Ovis aries: one gene and its partner. The main gene of each other region encodes a partner of the protein of the gene in region 2 in a complex. Links are inferred from orthologs where the notes say so. Each region holds a gene or a part of one and is shown on either strand. Other genes may lie near its edges.

Evidence for each region. Proteins that work in one complex are often made in the same cells at the same time.
Region 1: the proteins of NME5 (region 2) and DYDC2 are in contact, whole or in part, in a cryo-EM structure (PDB 8X2U), measured with the Mus musculus proteins. The link is inferred for Ovis aries from reciprocal best matches to the Homo sapiens genes NME5 and DYDC2. Residues at the interface, in NP_542368.2 of Mus musculus: Arg140, Ala145, Val146, Ile147, Ile151, Pro152, Ala156, Ala157, Tyr160, Ile161, Tyr164, Val165, Thr168, Leu169, Leu173, Leu176, Cys177, Lys180, Pro181, Asp183, Pro184, Tyr185, Leu186, Leu188, Ala189, Asp190, Leu192, Met193, Asn196, Pro197; in NP_001347537.1 of Mus musculus: Asp2, Tyr5, Leu6, Cys9, Phe10, Gly13, Leu14, Leu18, Val21, Ala22, Arg23, Val24, Arg25, Pro26, Asp28, Pro29, Ile30, Glu31, Leu33, Ala34, His35, Leu37, Tyr38, Tyr40, Arg41.

The regions. Positions count from the first base shown.
Region 1 is NC_056078.1:34,795,688-34,799,356, reverse strand, and holds the start of DYDC2 (DPY30 domain-containing protein 2), read right to left. Parts: upstream 2,878-3,669; 5' UTR 2,732-2,877; exon of another isoform or gene 2,597-2,731; intron 806-2,596; 5' UTR 629-805; intron 1-628.
Region 2 is NC_056058.1:47,221,560-47,225,208, forward strand, and holds part of NME5 (nucleoside diphosphate kinase homolog 5), read right to left. Parts: intron 2,907-3,649; coding exon 2,788-2,906; intron 1-2,787. UniProt on the Homo sapiens protein: Functions as part of axonemal radial spoke complexes that play an important part in the motility of sperm and cilia. Does not seem to have nucleoside diphosphate kinase (NDPK) activity.

The sequences.
Region 1 (3,669 bases), on a different chromosome or scaffold from region 2:
CAGCAACAGGATATTCATATAGTCCCAAAGTTTCTCTCCACAAATTATGGATTAACTCCAAAAAGAAATACAGAAACTTCACAGTGGTAAAACCTGACAGGCACAATGTTAACCAAATAATCAAAGCATATATCACCCATAAAGGGACAAAATAACATTATGTGTCTCCTGATGTGATGCACTTCCTCCTGGAACACAACACATTTCTGTAGATTCTTGCCCCAAATGCAAAACTGGAATCTGACATCAAACAAAGCCAAGTTGAGAGAAAGTCTATAACTGGGGTATACTCTTAAAATGTCAACATCATGAAAGACAAAAAAGATGAGGCACTGGTCCAGCTCAAAGGAGCCTAAACAGCCATCCATCCCAACTAAATGCAATCTATGATCCTTAGTTGGATGTAGACCAGGAGACAGAATTCTGTAAAGGAAATTGTTGGGAAAACAGAATGTGAACTGTAAGTTCCATAATAGAATTATATCAAGGTTAAATTTCCTGGTTGTGGTAATTGAAATATGAGTAAGAAAATGTCCTTGTCCCTAGGAAATACACAGTGTGTCAGGGCAGAATAATGGCTCCCAAAGGTGTTCACAAAGTAATAGCCGGAATCTATGAACCACGTTACCTTATATGACAAAGGGGACTTTGCAGATGTGATTAAATTTGGCATTTTTTGTTTGTTTGTTTTGGGGAAATTATACTGGATTATCCAGGTATGCAGGCTTTCCAGGTGGCTCAGTGGTAAAGAATCTGCCTGTCAGTGCAGGAGACGTGGCTTCAATCCCTTGGTCCGGAAGATCACCTAGAGAAAGAAATGGCAACCCACTTCAGTATTCTTTCTTGCCTGGGAAATTCCATGGACAGAGGAACCTGGCAGGTTATAGACCATGGGGTTGTAAAGAGTCAGACGCAATTTAGCAACTAAAATAGCAATAAATCTAGGTAGGCACAATGTAATCACAAGAGTCTTTATAAGAGGGACACAGAAAAGTCAGACAGGGCGGAAGAAGGTGTGGTGATGTCGGCAGAGGGAGAAAAGGTGATGCGATTCAGGACCATGAGCCAAGGAGGGTGGGTGGCCTCTAGAAGCTGGAAAAGGCGAGGAAGGGGATCTTTCCTGGGGCATCCAGGAGGAACCAGCCTTGCTGAAACACTCTGACGTTAACCCTGTAAGATTCATCTTGGATCTCAAACTTCAAAAACTGTAAGATAATAAATGTGTGTTTAAAGTCACTACGTTTGGGGTAGTGGTGAAGGGAGGGGATGGGGATGTGTTGGTGGCTGCTTCTGCCAATCTGTGACTAATGCACCTGAACCAATGCACCCAAGTAAACTACTTTCTACACCCCTTCTCATCAAAGTGTGGTCATTGCATCACCTGGGAGTTGTTGAAATGCAGATTCTCAGGTCCCACCTCAGATTTACAGATTGAGAGTCTGCATTTTAACAGAATCCCCAGGTGATACACAGTTACAGCTCTCCTTTGCCTTAATCCCAGTACAACTACCCTTCCCAGGGGGTGGGATCACCAAGTTTGGAGCAGATCGTTTATCCAGTTTGCCACACTTACTGCAGTGTGGCAGACACTGAGGACCAAACGCTGAAGAGCCTTCCATCTGTCAGTGCTCCCGCTGGCACTTATTATCTCAATCAACATTTAGTGAAGCATCTTGTGCCCAGCACTGCCCCACATAAACTGAAACAAAACATGGGAAATGCTAGCCAAGAACTGTGCGAAACAACTAGCCCAGGGAAGGCTGCAGATGGTGGGGGAGATGAAAAAGGTTGGAAGACTTCCTGGAGGTGGGGGCACCCGGGCTCGCTCTGAAAGTAGTGCCAACTAAAGAATGTCTCCAGCCAGCTGGCTCCACAAGGACTGAGTCATTAGCAGTTGTTAACTGGTCACTAACACAGCCTGAAAAGAGTTCAGGGTGGAAATCAGGAATGAGATACTCCACTTTCTGGGAAAACTGACAGAATAGACCTTCAGACAGAAACTTTCAGGACAAAAATTTACAAACCCAATTTCTTGCATCTTACATACTTAGAAAAGCCATAAAATAATTAAACTGTGTGTGCTTGATAACTAGCAGTAGACTTTTACCTAGATATATGTTTGACTGCAGGTACCCGTTCTCCAAATCTCCTATACGCTGACCTCTGCCCTCACCTCTTCCATGCTGAAGCAGTTTCTCAGAGTTGTCTGAGAGGCTGTCTGCAGGGCTATAATCCTCAGTTAAGTCCCCAAGTAAAACTGAATTTACAGCTCTTAGATGTGCTATCCCCACCCCCAGTGGCCAGGATCCAAGCAGAAGTCACCAGCAGGTGCGAAAGCGCTAGGCTGAGAAAATACCAGGATGTTAGATTGCTACACTCTTTTCTGGCCTTAAGCAGTGCGGGCTTCACCTACCGGTAGCCTTTGCGCACATCCACTCCCGCCCCTGCCCCGCCCCGCCCCGCCCCGTCCCGGTCAGCCTCTGTCCTGGCTCTCTCCGTGTGCACTGCGCTTGCCAGTCTCGCTTGGTCAATTCCCCTTTTTGGCTGGCCCCTCCTCAAAGCCTCTAGATTGCACATCCTGTCTCTGCTCACGTACCCTGGTGCTTCCGGCTCTCCATCCAGCACCCTGTACACCTTGGGCGCAGCCTCCTCTCAGCTGCGCATCCTACCTTCCACTCCTCCAGCTTCTCCTCTCTGCAGCATCTACTCCGCCGCCGCCTCCAACCCTCACCATCGCTCACGCCCCGGCCCGCGCCTCTTCTGACCTCAGCCCAGCGTAGTCAGCTCAGCTCTCAGCACGCACTCTTCTCTCTCGGACCCAGGCAGTCTCCAGCCCAGGGGCGCGCGGGCTCATTGCCTAGCAACGGGACGCTATCTGCAGGTAGGTAGGCGCATGCGTCAGGCGCCAGCCTCTAGAATGCAGGCGCCTTTTGGGAAGAACAGCTTCCGGTGCTGGGCTGGTTTCCAGCCGGCAGAGGCAGCTTTGGCCCTTGGACCCTGCCAGTGGTGCGACAGAGGAATAGCTCAGCGCAGGGAGGCAGCTCTGTGGCTGAGTCCTACTCCTCTTCCTCCTCACTGGTGAGCAGCGCCGCGCCTTTTGGAGGGGCAGGGGAGGCGGGTCTGGAATAGAAAAGCTACCGAAGCTCTCGGAATCCAGGTCGGTAAAATTCGGGGTACCCAGTTAAATTTGAATTTCAGAGACATAAGAAATTACTGTTTAGTACATGTATAGTAGAGTGTATAATACAAAATCGTTTCTTGTTTATCTGAAATTTTAAATTTAACTGGCCACTGTATCCGATCCCTTCCTCTCCCACTCGGCCTGCTTTCTCCCAAGCATGACCGAGGAACCTCTGTTTCTTTGGACAGCTTCGCCAGGCTTCAGTTCAGTTCAGTTCAGTTCAGTCGCTCAGTCGTGTCCGACTCTTTGCGACCCCATGAATTGCAGCACCCCAGGCTTCCCTGTCCATCACCAACTCCTGGAGTTCACTCAGACTCACGTCCATCGAGTCAGTGATGCCATCCAGCCATCTCATCCTCTGTCGTCCCCTTCTCCTCCTGCCCCCAATCCCTCCCAGCATCAGAGTCTTTTCCAATGAATGAACTCTTCGCATGAGGTGGCCAAAGTACTGGAGTTTCAGCTTTGGCATCATTCCTTCCAAAGAACAC
Region 2 (3,649 bases):
ACCAAGGGAACATTTCATGCAAAGATGAGCACAATAAAGGACAGAAATCATATGGACCTAACAGAGCAGAAGATATTAAGAAGAAGTGGCAAGAATACACAAAAGAACTGTACAAAAAAGATCTTCATGACAAAGATAATCATGATGGTAGGATCACTCATCTAGAGCCAGACATCCTGGAATGTGAAGTCAAGTGGGCCTTAGAAAGCATCACTACGAACAAAGCTAGTGGAGGCGATGTTAATTCCAGTTGAGCTATTTCAAATCCTGAAAGACGATGAAAGATGTGAAAGTGCTGCACTCCACATGCCAGCAAATTTGGATAACTCAGCAGTGGCCACAGGACTGGAAAAGGTCAGTTTTCATTCCAATCCCAAGGAAAGGCAATGCCAAAGAATGCTCAAACTACCACACAATTGCACTCATCTCACACACTAGTCAAGTAATGCTCAAAATTCTCCAAGCCAGACTTCAGCAATACAAGAACCGTGAACTTCCAGATGTTCAGGCTGGTTTTAGAAAAGGCAGAGGAACCAGAGATCAAATTGCCAATGTCTGCTGGATCATCAAAAAGGCAAGAGAGTTCCAGAAAAACACCTATTTCTGTTTTATTGACTATGCCAAAGCCTTTGACTGTGTGGATCACAATACACTGTGGAAAATTCTGAAAGAGATGGAAATACTAGACCACCTGACTTGCCTCTTGAGAAACCTATATGCAGGTCAGGAAGCAACAGTTAGAACTGGACATAAAACAACAGACTGGTTCCAAATAGGAAAAGGAGTACGTCAAGGCTGTATATTGTCATCTTGCTTATTTAACTTATATGCAGAGTACATCATGAGAAACTCTGGGCTGGAAGAAGCCCAAGCTGGAATCAAGATTGCCAGAAGAAATATCAATAACCTCAGATATGCAGATGACACCACCCTTATGGCAAATAGTGAGGAAGAACTAAAAAGCCTCTTGATGAAAGTGAAAGAGGAGTGAAAAAGTTGGCTTAAAGCTCAACATTCAGAAAATGAAGATCATGGCATCTGGTCTCAACACTTCATGGGAAATAGATGGGGAAACAGTGTCAGACTTTATTTTGGGGGGCTCCAAAATCGCTGCAGATGGTGACTGCAGCCATGAAATTAAAAGACGCTTACTCCTTGGAAGGAAAGTTATGACCAACCTAGACAGCACACCAGGCCTCCCTGTCCATCTCATCTCCCGGAGTTCACTCAAACTCACGTCCGTCGAGTCCGTGATGCCATCCAGCCATCTCATCCTCCATCGTCCCCTTCTCCTCCTGCCCCCAATCCCTCCCAGCATCAGAGTCTTTTCCAATGAGTCAACTCTTCGCATGAGGTGGCCAAAGTACTGGAGTTTCACCTTTAGCATCATTCCTTCCAAAGAACACCCAGGGCTGATCTCCTTTAGCATGGACTGGTTGGATCCCCTTGCAGTCCAAGGGACTCTCAAGAGTCTTCTCCAACACCACAGTTCAAAAGCATAAATTATTCGGCACTCAGCTTTCTTCACTAGCATCCGTACATGACCACTGGAAAAACCACAGCGTTGACTAGACAGACCTTTTTTTGGCAAAGTAATGTCTCTGCTTTTCAGTGTGCTATCTAGGTTGGTCATAGCTTTTCTTCCAAGGAGCAAGCATCTTTGAATTTAGGTGTCTGGAATTAGAGTTGAGTCCAGGCAAGATGACTTCAAGACAATGTTTAGGAAATGGAACCATGAGTATCTTTTTCTTCTCTTCTTTACGTTTTTCAGTAGTTTCAGGTTTCTTACTAAATTAAAATAAATACTATTTTCACAATGAAAGAGAATTATTAGAGAAATAACGTGTCAATGTTTTCCTTTTTGGTAAAAGTGGTAATGTTAACATGTGGGAAAGATTAAATCTTTTGTCTTTCAAAAAGGATTCCTTTTGAGAATTCTAACAAAGGCCAAACATATTATTTTGGTAGGGCTGATATTAAAATAACCTTCCCTGATTATCTCTAAGACTCTTCAGATGGGCGGGTGTATCTATAAGGAAGGATCCAGGCTGACAGTTGGCCCTGGATCATCATCCTAAGTCCTCATACTCAACAGTTCTTCCACCTGAATGAGCAATGTTGAGGCATCAAGTATGTGAATAAATGCAAATCTTCTATTCAGAAAATTTAGATATCACGAGAAATAAAAATGATGAACAAAATTCAAGTATATATCTAATTTTATCATTTGATTATATAAATTATACACAAAAACAATGCTGAGCAATTGAAGGATGCAATGACTGAAAATGTACTTAAAATGTTTTTTAAGAGTCAAAACACAGCAAGAAAATAAGCACAGTTGACCCTGGAGCAACAGAGATTTGAACTGTAGGGGTCCACTTACGTGGAGCCTTTTTTCAATAGTAAATACGACAGTACTACACAATTCACAACTGGCTGAACACAAGATGCAGAAATCACAGATACAGAGGAACTGAGGATACGAGTTCCTACTATAAATTATATGCCAGATTTTTTTTTAAGTATTTATTTATTTTGGCTGCACTGGGTCTTAGTTGTTGCACATGGGAGCTCTTAGTATGCCAGACTTTTGACTGTGCAAAGGGTCAGCGCCCCTAAGTCCTACTCTTACTCAAGGGTCAACTGTAATCAAATGTTATACAAAAGGAAGTATCTAAAATGTATATAAAATAGCTTTAAGTGACTTTCTATATATTTCAAAGAATATTTTAATTCTGAAAGCTATAGACAGTATTCTTCAGTATGAATAAAAAGATTTCTTACAAAAGGATCTGCTGGTTTTTGCTTACAAAGTTCTGTGAGTCCTTTAAGCAGAGTTGGCGTTACATACAAATTTAAATAGTCCTTAGCAGCTTGTCCAACTGGAATGGGCTCAACAATCACTGCAAATACAAATGTATTCCCATTAAAGCTAACATAAATGATGAAATATTATAGTCATTAAAAAGGACACATTCAAAGAAATTTTAATGACATGAGAAATACTTAGTTTTTCTTTTTTAAAAAAAGTAAACAGAAATAGATACATAGTGAATAGTTTGTTCAAAAACACAATCACACACACACACAAATAAGACTCATACAAATAGCAAAAAATACATCAATATATTGATAGTGCTCACACACAAGATTCTGATTATGTTTTCAACAATCTCCTTTTTTGCATTTCCATTTCCATTTTTTAACAGTAAATACATAATGGACAATGTTTTGAAAAGCTGAAAGAATATATATAATCTAGATTAATTCTTCACAAAAATTAACTCCTGTCAACAAAATGGAGGCAGTTTGCACAGTGGAAAATCCCATGGACAGAGGAGCGTAGTAGGCTACAGTCCATGGGGTTGCAAAGAGTCAGACATGACGGAGTGACTTGACTTCACTTCACAGATATGAGTGAATAATACATGCTTCTTGCTCTCTTATAAACTATTGAATATACACATAAGTCCTATTTATATGATAGTATATATTAATATTGCGGCTTATCTTTCAATTGTTAAAATAAATTATATAGATTTAAGGAAATTTTAGTCTTTTCAGCTTTCTTTGAACACTATAGGTGACCCAGACTTGCAATACAACAAAAAACATATTTCTACCAGAAACAAAAAGGGTCCCAGTA